Arabidopsis thaliana: one gene and its partner. The protein of the gene in region 1 interacts with the protein of each later gene in a pairwise test. Each region holds a gene or a part of one and is shown on either strand. Other genes may lie near its edges.

The links. The genes of interacting proteins can lie anywhere in the genome.
Region 2: the proteins of AT2G41820 (region 1) and PLC2 interact in a protein complementation assay, tested with the Arabidopsis thaliana proteins (one large-scale study listed by BioGRID).

The regions. Positions count from the first base shown.
Region 1 is NC_003071.7:17,445,078-17,450,622, reverse strand, and holds AT2G41820 (Leucine-rich repeat protein kinase family protein), read right to left. Parts: upstream 3,880-5,545; 5' UTR 3,454-3,879; coding exon 1,110-3,453; intron 1,038-1,109; coding exon 709-1,037; 3' UTR 515-708; downstream 1-514. Other genes in the region: AT2G41830 (Uncharacterized protein), read left to right, coding at 28-192. UniProt on the Arabidopsis thaliana protein: Leucine-rich repeat receptor-like protein kinase that may play a role in vascular tissues development.
Region 2 is NC_003074.8:2,581,824-2,587,838, forward strand, and holds PLC2 (phospholipase C 2), read right to left. Parts: upstream 4,076-6,015; 5' UTR 3,734-4,075; coding exon 3,434-3,733; intron 2,926-3,433; coding exon 2,729-2,925; intron 2,641-2,728; coding exon 2,505-2,640; intron 2,419-2,504; coding exon 2,182-2,418; intron 2,102-2,181; coding exon 1,878-2,101; intron 1,790-1,877; coding exon 1,672-1,789; intron 1,529-1,671; coding exon 1,376-1,528; intron 1,294-1,375; coding exon 1,207-1,293; intron 1,097-1,206; coding exon 803-1,096; 3' UTR 539-802; downstream 1-538. Other genes in the region: AT3G08505 (zinc finger (CCCH-type/C3HC4-type RING finger) family protein), read right to left, coding at 1-87, 210-220; AT3G08520 (Ribosomal protein L41 family), read left to right, coding at 4,209-4,220, 4,318-4,383; AT3G08530 (Clathrin, heavy chain), read right to left, coding at 5,348-5,503, 5,602-5,712, 5,826-5,948. UniProt on the Arabidopsis thaliana protein: The production of the second messenger molecules diacylglycerol (DAG) and inositol 1,4,5-trisphosphate (IP3) is mediated by activated phosphatidylinositol-specific phospholipase C enzymes.

The DNA of each region.
Region 1 (5,545 bases):
TTGTATTGATTACTGAAATTTGTTTAGGTCGAAGTCCCTTTACTGTCGAAAGAATTCGACATGAAATCGCCAAGAACACCAGTGGGAACTATTCAGTCACCGTGCTATGCAGAACTACAAAATAACCCACAAGCATTTAGACTACCAGCCTCAAGCCCTTACGACAACTTCCTTAAAGCTGCTGGCTGTTGATCATCGGCAGGATCCAAACCATGTTTGGCTTTGAATTCCAGTCAAGAACTCAAACAAAACATAACAAAAATAGGTTTGCTTGGTTTTCAAAGTCTTGGGTTACGTTTTTATAGATTCTTTAGCATCATAAATCGGAATTATCTCCGTCGTGCTATAATTAGATCATTCCTCCTAGGTTTTTACTCCTATCTTCTCTTTTCACTTATTCTTTTGTCCAATTCTTGTTTCTTTTTGGTGTGATGTGTAAAAAATTGAAAGAGGCCATCTGGTTTTCACATGGTATTGTAATCTTAAGATTCTACAACAGATGCTTTGTTGAACAGTTTCCCTCAAGATGTACATTGGTTCTTCTATGATCTAATTTATAATTTGTGTCATTGGATAAGTAAATCAACCATAAGCGGATCAATTTTATCATAAAAACCTATATAATACACAGAGGAGAAGCTCGCATATATAGGAATGCGTTTTCTTTTGTATATGAATGTCACAAGAGGAAACTATATATTCATTTGCTCATTTGATTTGCTTAACCTCTTGAAGCATTTCAACTACTTTCTTCATCTTTGGCCTTTTTGCAGGTGTGATGTCTGTGCAAAGCAATGCAACTTTCAGAGCTGCAAGCATCTCTCTCCTCCAAGCAAAAGACACGGTGCTAAGCTTGGCATCGAGTATCTGTTCCGGTGTTTCTCCTCTCGCTGAAGCTCCATGGACCCATTTCACCAAATCTACTCCTTCACCAAACTCTTCCTCCACCGGCGCTCTTGAGGTTAGAATCTCAAGCAACACAACTCCATAACTGTAAACATTCCCCGGAGCTGTAACTTGCATTGTGTATGCATACTCTGCAGAAATAAACCAAGGGAAAGTGTTGGATTTTGTATAAAGTTACTGGTAACAAAATTAAGACTTTATACCTGGTGGAATGTAGCCAAAAGAGCCTGCAACTGAGCTAATACTCGCGGTGCCTCTAGAGGGATCTAGAAGTTTCGATATTTCGATTTCCCCAAGCACGGCTTTGTAACCAGAGTCTAGCAAGACGTTGCTAGAGGAAACGTCGAGGTGAATGATGGCGACTTGGTGGAGAAATGCTAAACCTTCTGCTGCTCCAACAGCTATGGACAGTCTCATTGGCCAGTCAGGTTGGTACTCTGGTTTCTTGGTGGACTCATGAATCAGCTGAGTTAAGTTACCATTAGGTAAATGCTGATGCAACAAGAGAGCAACGTCTTCGTATATAACAAACCCTATCGGTCTAACCAAATGGTCATGGCAAAGTTTGCTGAGTCTTTCGAGTTCTCTGATCATCTTGTTCTGATGATGAGATATGGCTCTATCCATAGACTTGAGTTTCTTCACCGAAACAATCATCCCCGAAGGCATAACGGCTTTATAAACTGAACTGAAAGTTCCCGTACTGAGTTTATTTGACTCCTTCATAGTTGCTTTCACAACTGCATCAAGATCAATTCCTTGTTTAAGATTTTCAAGGAAGACATTTCCCGCGATAATTGCTGGTTGCTCATCCTCAACATTTTCTTCAACATCAACATTTTTAGCCGCTGCTTTCTCTTGTTTCTCCCTCATCATGAAGAGAAGAACAACCACAGTGACTGATACAAAGACAGCTACACCAGAACCAATCACTGCGAGCACAATTCTGTAGGAGACTCTGTGATTATATCTCAAATGGTCAAGATCTTCAGAATATCCACAAGAAGAGCTCAATGGTGCTCCACAAAGCTCTTTGTTTCCCAAAAAGCTCGAATTTGGAGACTTTTGAAAGGGAACAAAGACTGGCACTGGACCATTCAAAAGGTTGTTTGAGAAATTAACCTCGATCAAACTCATCATACCTTTTAGTAGTGGCGGTATGGATCCTGTGAGCAAATTGTTAGAGACATCCAATGACACGAGCTTGTCGAGTTTTCCTAACTCGGGAGGCAATGATCCATGAAGATGGTTGAAACTTAAGTTGAGTGCTATCTGCAAATTCCTCATGCGACCAATCTCAGGAGGAATGGTTCCCGTCAAGTAATTTCGACCCAGTTGGAGCTGAAGTAGCTTCACACAGTTTCCAATCTCATGAGGTATGTCTCCTCTTATGGAATTTTGATCAAGAAGTAAATACTGTAGCCTTGGCATGCTGCAGAGTTCCTTTGGGATGGTTCCGTTGAGTCTGTTGTTACTCAAATCAAGCTTGTTTAGGTTTCCACTTCCAAGAAACGACTTAGGGATCTCCCCAAAGAGACTATTACCTGAGAGAATCAGTTCTTGAAGATTAATGAGCTGACCAAGCTCTGTTGGAATGGTTCCAGCGAACCCATTAGCTGCCAGATTCAGCAGAGTGAGATTAGAACACTTGGAGAACTCTGCAACAATCTCACCTGAAAGATTGTTCTTGTCTGCTTCAAAGTAAGTAAGTCCACTAATGTTCCCGATTGTCCTCGGAATGACTCCCACAAGCTCGTTATTCCCAATTCTAATGCTCGAGAGGCCGCTGCAGATTCCTACTGCTTCAGGGAGTTCACCGGTCAATCTATTCTGTGTCAAGACCAAAACTTTAAGCTTCCCTTTCTCAAAAATCCCTTTTGGAATCTTCCCCTCAAGTTGGTTTGAGTGAAGATTCAACAATTCCAACTCAGAAACCAAACCTAACCCATTCGGTATCTCACCCACCAAATCATTCTCATAAGCTGTAAACACCCTGAGACTGCTCAGATTCCCTACCCAGTGAGGTATAGAACCATTTAACCCATTTCCAGAGACCTGAAACTCCTCTAACCTCTCTAGAACCTTAAGCTCATCAGGTATCTCTCCAACAAGCAAGTTATTAGAAATGTTGAATGCTCTAAGCCCTCTAAGCTTACCAAACTCAACCGGAATCGCTCCAACAAAACGATTCAGAGACAAATCAAGAAACTCAAGCTCAGACAAGTTGCCAAAAGAAGTAGGAATTCGTCCATTGAAGTTGTTACCAGAAAGATCTAGATGCTTTAAGCTTCTGAGGTCAGAGATTAGAGTAACATTACCTCTAAGCTGAAGCCCTGAGAGATCAAGCATTTCAACAAAAGAGTTGTTGACACCACACTTAAGCCCAACCCAAGTACAATAGTCAGTGCCATTACTACTCCATCCTGGAACTCCAAGCTCTCTATTAATCGCAACCAATGTGGCTTCATCGCTTAGTTGAGCTTCACAAAGCTCAGATTTTGATAAGAACCCAACAATCAGAAGAATTGACATACACCAAAATGTCATTTTTAAGAATTGAATCAATCACACACTCTTGTTCTTCTTCTTCTTTCCCCCAAATACAAAATTATCATTGAATTTTTAAGCCAAATGAAACAAGAAAGTGAGAGAGGAAAAGAAAAGTAATGCTCTTTTTGCCATGAATCCAGGATTAAAGCTCTGGTTTTTCAAGTCAAAATAACTGTTTCTGAAGAAAAAGAAGAAGAAAGACGAGTGCTTTAGAGTGTGAGTGTGGCTTAGAGAGAGAGCAAAGCCCATAAATTTAGGGAGAAAAAAACATGAGAGAACAAAGAGAAGAGAGCAAGGAAAATTCGATCAAAGAGTAGTAGGGTCTCTGCTTATAAGAGAGAAGAGGAAATTGCATTTTTTTTAGTATATCACGAAATTATGATTGCAGAACCAAACAAAGATCCTCTCACTTCACACACAGACAGAGAGAGAGAAGAGAGAGACTCCACAAAGCAAACGCACTTGGAAAGGAGGGAATTTTTTTTTTCTTTTCTTTTAATGTAATTAATTTCTGATACAAAAAAGTTTAATTTTCTTCACGAGACAGTGCAAGTGATGAATGAATGAAAGCTGCATAAATCTTTCTGACACATTTTTTCTGCTTTTGTTTTTTGGAAGAAAAAAAAAAGATTTTAATGAAAATGAAGAGTGTACGTTTTTTGATAATTCTTTTCCTCTGACGTTTTTTCTGTACCATACTGATTGATACTGTCACAATGTTCAATACCAAAGAGGTAAAAGATTGTTTCCAAATCTATCTTTTTTATTTTTTTACCTTCTTTTAAAATCAAAATTTACACACACTTTGCAGTTATCATTTGTGGTATAATGACATTTTTCTTATTCGTAGGGACTAGGTTATATTTGTAGCCTACATGTTTTCTCTTTGATCTATATTTGACAATAGGGAATCTACTCTCGTGTGGTGATTTTTGATGATTACTTTAAACACGATCCATGTTTGATGTATACCAAATTTTGACGACATTTATGTCAAGAATATAAGATTATAGAATCACACGAGGTGGAAGATTATTACTATTATTATTCGTCTGCGACGATAGTCAGGAAACACTGTGTGTTAATATCAATAGATATGATTGATTTCCGAGTTTCAAAATACACGTAAATTTTTGTTGTAAGATGCTCAATATAACAATACGTAAACAACGATTTGTCAAATCTTGAATGTTGGTAGAAGACATGTTTTCTCAGATGTCTGCCTCAAACAGCGAGATTAGTATCTTTTGATTTTGTGATAATTGTTATAAATAAAACATACCAACAATTTATTAAATAGCTATGTCTTAAGCTGCTTCCGATACTCCTACGCGACCCAAAACATTGAAAAGATGTCGGATAGATCATATATGAGTTGAGCTAAACTGTGTTCATATTCTCATTGGTGTGTACTTTAAGCTAGATGATGGTCGTAAACTCACATACAAATAATTGTTGTTTATATTACACCATTTTCCTCTTTCCTCTAACTATTACCTGATACAGATGACATAATTAAGTATAGTACTAAAAGGTAAAATACTGAAAACGAGTTTGATTTAATTTGCACAATTGTAAACTAGAAAGAAAGATTCAAAGTATGCAACAGTCAAGCAAATTCATACAATTATACTCAAATATCCGATAGTCATTAACATTCCAGAAAAAAATAAAAAATTAAGAACATGAGTTTGGGTTTCGAGAAATACTAGATATACTAGTTAGCTCTTAATTTATGTTTCTAAGAAATTGTTGGTAAATGTTTTAAAAAAAATATATCATAATGAAACAAAATCATAAACAAAGCTCCGTTTTATCAACATATTCCTTTATGCTGCAAAGAGTTTGTATATTTATGTTTATTTTTGAAAATATAGATTGAGAATAATAGAATGAGGAAGAGTGGGGTTCACTCACGGGATGGGGTAAAAGAAAAAGGAATGTGGCTCTTTACGGTTAGGCAAATTGTAGGACCCTTCTTTGTCTGCTCCGACCACCACCACTCACCACCTCCGTCCCATCGTTTTTTTCCTCTTCTTGAAACCTAATTGCCTAATTAAGTATATATAAATAACACCACCAATTAAGC
Region 2 (6,015 bases), on another chromosome or scaffold:
TTATTGGGCGGATCCTTAGAGTCATGGGAAAATTCGCAATTTTCGCCTTTCAAGCACGAGCCATGGACAAAGAACTTGCACAGTATCCTACAAAAAAGAAATCAAATGAATCATCGTCCCCAGAAACGAAAGAATCAATCTTTATCACCAATCAAAGAGACACAAAATTGAAGAGTTTGATGAATCGAGAAGTTGGGGGATTACGATACCTATCGGACATTTGGGGATTTGTGCGGAGAGAAGAAAAAAAAGGGTGGAAGAATGGAGAAGGAAGAGAGAGCTTTATGTGAAGAAATTGAATTTGTACGGTTTTCAATTGTTGAGGACCAAGCAGACCCCAACGTTTTTGAGATAGAGCGCGCTTCCTCCACCTCCACCACCACCTCTCTCTTTCATTTACTAAAATATCCTTTCTCTTTTCTTTTTGGCCAATTTTGTTTTATGGGGTGTGATTGGTTATGTTTATGGAAATTCGATCAGTTTTATGTGATACATAAGAAAATTCTTTGAAGCCTTCTTGGTGGAATGGAATCAAACAAGTTTTAAAACACACTTGTTACACAAAAACCACAAATCATCATACGATTCAAGTGTTACACGAGACTACTACATAATAATACAACAACACACGATACAAGACCGTCTCTCTCTCTCTCACTTTCGTCTTTTATGTACATAATATTACAAACAACAAATCAAGCATACATTCTCTCTCACACATACAAATCCTCCAAATTCACAAACTCTGTGGCACTCAAACCTACCAGACAAGTTTAAATGCTGTATCTTTCTTAATCATGTCTCACACAAACTCCACCTTCACGAGAAGCTTAACGGATTTGTACTTCTCTCCTTTCCGGCTATGTAAAGGAAATGCTCTTATTCCTTCGCTTAGCTCCCAAACCGGTAAGCATGTCTGTCCTCCAAAATCATCTTTCTCTGACATGTCATACTCATGCACTTCTAATCGTAGCAGGGCCAGCTCTGGAACGGTTAATGGGAACTCAAACACCTCATCCCAAGCTGGTATCCAATTATCCTCCAGTGTTTTCGTCTTCTTCATTACTGTATCCCCTGGAACTCCAGCTATCCCAACCTGAATATGCATCAAAAGCTCAAATTGTTATATTGCAAGCATAAGAGACAAGAAACAGTTCTATCTCAAAACATTTGTGTGAGGTTTAAGGCAGGGAATCAAAAATTGACCCTTGTATAGAAGTCAGGCGGTGAATATTGGTCAAAGTGTGTGTGGCGGAAATCAAAGTACCAGCCTTCTCCCATGTATACAGTTACCTAAGGGAAAGAATAAGTTCACTGAGTTTGATCGGATTTGAATTGGTAAAAGAAAGACCAACCAGAGAATCAGATATCTCACCCTAAGTGTTGTTTTCACAGGTAGAGTAGCTTTTGGGTCAAATATGTCACTATCCGAACCACTTTTCAGCAGAAGGTCAGGTTTCTTGATGTAGCCACATCCGCCATTGGCTCTAAACATTCCCTGCATTAGCCACAATGATCTTCCATACCCCTGTACATGGAAAAAGATCACAATCAAATCAGCTGAGGAATAAGGTTGATGTCCTGTAAAATGATGGAACATAGCTCCTCCAAAATAACTAGAAGTTTTACTACTACGTAGAAAGAAGTTGGTAATATAGCAGAAGGAGATACCTGCATATTGAAAGCCACCATTTGAGCACCGTGGCTCCAGCCAACCAACGGGTTGTAATTTGATGATGTGACTCTAGTTCCTTTTGGGTATATCCTCAGCAAATTGTGCTGAGTAAACCTGCGCCACACCATGATTAACAGGATTCATATTGAGTTGACAAACTGCAACTATTACTTAGAAACATAAAAACATAATATGACTATACCTCACAATCTGCTTCGCATATTTTTCTGCTGCCTTTTCAAGTTGTTCTTCGCTTAAGCTAAGGCGTCTAACCTTGTCAGGATCTACCTTTAAACACTCAGTAATTCCGCCTTTTGGTTTCCCAGCATGGATTGCAATCAAATGTTTATACTGGGGTGGTGCATTAATCTTAGACTTGTCTTCATCATCATCATCGTCATCATCATCATTTCCATCTAAGTCATCCTGCAACAAGAAAGAAAACTAACATGTTTGTCCATGAACAGCAACAGAACAGAATGAAAATGATTTGTCTTCGTACACACCTTAGCTTCACTTTTGTTCCTCTGAATAAAGCTCGGAACTTCTCTTCCCCAAACTTCTTCATCCCCCAAGTCTTTACCTTTCTGCACCACTTCCACATCTTTTCCTTCCTTGTACTCTTTTGGGGGTTTGGTTGAGATGATAATACGTCTTTTTAAAGAGTTTGGCGATGGGAACTCCTTCAAAGATTCTCCCACAGGAGGAGTAAACAGAATTTCCCCAAATATCTCAGTAACCATCTATCATACAACAAGAAAACACATCTCAAAACCAATGTACTCATCTATTAAAGCAGCAAAGAAAGAAATGCAAAATAAAAAGCTACCTCAGCAACTTTAGACTGAAGATCTGGAGTAAGATGATCTTCAAGAGTTACAACAACAGGATAGTCAGATACATCAAAGGCATGTGCTCTGATAGCTTTGAGACATTTGATCAACCCCACAGGTGTAGTGAGAGTCCTGTTTAAGAATGGTTCAGTAAACAAGTTAAACGCCAAGCACCTAACCTTGACTTGTTTTTCGAAATAAATTTGAAGCAAAATTATACATTCCGTGAAGAACATCAATATCGTCTTTGTTGGAATTGGGCCATATATCCAATTCAATGACTCTAACACCTTTCTTCAACGCATCAATAATAGGTACCTCACTACAGTCACTGCTCAGCTGATTACCAGTCAGATAAGAATTATGACCAGTGAATATGAAATAATGCGATATAGGAGCATCCATGTCATGATGCACCTGAAACACCACAAATTCATTAGAGATAAGTCTATAATCAATCTGAAAATAAAAGCTAGCACAATTGAGTCACAATTACATGTATAGCCGGAATTGTAAAAATATTAATTACTTGTATCATGGATTTTTGTGTCAGAGTTCCTAATAGAGTAAATGTCACATTCCTAGATATGTTACTTTCTCAACTTTTTTTTTTTTTTTGAGACATAAAAAGAAAAACAATTCTATTGCTTCAAATTCTTGAATCAGACTTATTCCACAACACCTAAAAAGTACATAGCTCCTACGACTTTCTACCAAACAGCAGCTTCGAAGTTCGAACTCTTGATTAGACTCAGTGAAACATTCAAACAAATTATTCCAAAAATCTCACTTCCTCACACCATTTCCTCAATTACCAAACAAGGAAAACGAAAAATCCCAATCCAAAATCTGAGTTTCTTATATCAATCAATCATAGTTTACTTCAGATTCTGAACTCATAAAATCGAAATAACACGAAAATTACCTTATGGAGAGCAAGAGGAGGGTTATTATCACCAAAGAGGTACTTGAAGAAAGCATCAAGATGGAGACCATTACGATGAAGAAGAGAAGATGCAGAATTGATAATTGACTGTGCATCTTCTCTGGTGGCTTTATCTTGTTTCTGAACATCGATCAGAAACCTGTGGAGATGATCAACGGTCATAACTCCATTCTCTGAGTACTTTTCGAAAATGGTCTTGATCTCACGCGGTGCCTCCGATGCAGTGTAACGAAACCTCCGGCGAAAGCAGAAACACACTTTGTACGTTTGCTTCGACATGAAGTAAAGAAAAAGACGGATCTTTGGGTAATGATTGGAGACGATGATGAAGGAATGAAGTAGGGTTTGTGTGTTATATAATCAGAACTATCTTCTCATTGTTTTTGAAATCAGACAAGCGAGATCAGAATCGTCGTTTTGCGTGTCGCATCTGCAAAGACAAAGAGATTTTTTTCCTTTCTTTCTAGTGAATCTCCTCCATGTAATGTTTAATCGATCTTGAACCTTGTCGGAAAAAGATCTTCTTTCTCTCTCTGTGCGAATATCCCCTCTGGCAAATTCTTATCCATTTGGGTTTTATTGGGCTTTTGAAATAATAAAGCCCATTAAGTTAGTTACTAGGGTTTTGTTGTTGTTTAAAGGAGGAATAAGAGCGTAAGCTACAAAATCTTTCTATTCATCTCCGCCGCTCCTCATCCTGTAAAGCTAAACAAATAATCAGAGGAACGAAGGAGACAGCTTCTGCGAAATCAGCATGAGAGCCAAGGTTAGTAATGGGTTTTGATTGTTTAATGGATTTTTTAGTGATGAGAAATTGAAGTAGTGTGTAGGATCTTTATGGTTTGTGTGTTTGTGTGTTGCAGTGGAAGAAGAAGCGTATGAGGAGATTGAAGAGGAAGAGACGAAAGATGAGACAGCGATCTAAGTAGATTCGGGAGTTTGTTTTGTCTTTCTTCTTTTTAGAACCAACTCTTATGTGAGTTTTGTTGGTTTTGCAATTTTCAATTTGAATGTTTTGTTGGACCAAATCGAATCTATGTTTTCTATTAGAATTATGTTTATTACATGGAATGATCCTTATGAGTTACTGATTCTCCTTAAAGTTCTTCAATCTGCTTATCATTTTGGTTTAATTGATTATCTATAGTTAGTGTCTGCGCTGGATGAGTTTTATCCTGGTGAAGGTTGAACTTTTGATATTAGAAATACCAAGTGAATTTGTATGTCATCTAAGTATACTAATAAAAACAAAGTATGTTGGGTTGATTGAATCTTTCTATCCAGAACGTTTTCTTAGTAATGTAGCAGAAATGTGTGTTTACGGAGGGATGCAATTTTTAGTTCATGATGTTCAGATGACTATTGGTACTTAGGTTTTTATGTGTACATGTGAAATAAACCTACCCTAAGATTTCATTATTATTTCATGAAAATGAGATTCACGTTGCATCTATGTCTTTCTGATGCTGATGAATGATGATGATTGTTCTGAGGTCAACCAAATTCTCATGAAGGATTTATTTAGTCCTTCTCGATATTAATTGTTTCATATATGAATAACAACAAGGTGAAACTGATCAACGGTTTAATAAATCGAAAGTCGAATGGAATGAAATGCTGAAGGAAAGTACAACTACAAAACTCATATGAGTAAGAGAGTTGAGTATATATACTCAAAAATGGCTTTTGACAAAAAGTTAAAAAAAAATTACTCACCTAAACCCAACAGAATATTACAACGAAAGGAGGTTATTATCCACATTATTCCCAGACAAATTCTGGTCAGACATATAAGCTAGCTAGCAGATGAACACCGCCCTAGCAAATTGGGCCGACTCTATGCGCTACTGATACTTTTCCAAATGCGGATATTAAAGCATAAGCTGGTCTGCTTTAGTAGCCGCCCATCGGTGGCATTCCATATGGTGGCATGGGAGGCATTCCTGGCATACCGCCCATTTGTGGTGGAGGACCATACCCACCACCACCTCCCATTCCTGGCATCGGTGGTGCAGGTAAAGCAAGTGGCAACATTTGGGCATACATGTTCTGTTTAAAAACAAAAGAAAAACATATTACTCCTTTAAGTGTATCTGTCAAGATAAAGAGTCGGATGATATCCAGTGTAGCTGTGTCATAAGTAGTACCTGTTGGGATATGACATCCTTCTCTTCCTGCTCTTTGGCCTTCACCTCTTTTTGTGCCTCAAGCTTGTCCTTTATTAGCTCATCCACTTTGCCAGAGTACTCTCGGATAAACTGCAAAGAAAAAACGACAGGAAGAAGAGAATTCATCATAGCGTTCAAATAATGGTTCCAACCTCATTGAGCAGAGAATCAAAAGAGTTTATTTGAGGGTTAGGATAGATCACCTGGAGGAGATACGGGAAGGCAAAGTCCATCATATTGTTGATCCAGGCAAGTTCTAGAGCCACGTCTGGTCGGATTAAGTCATAACATACAAAGAGACATGTAGCAAAGCATTCCTTTTTGCCCTGTATAACAGCAGAAGACACGGGATACTACGTTCAACGTCTGGACCAATTCTTTTCAACTAACCAA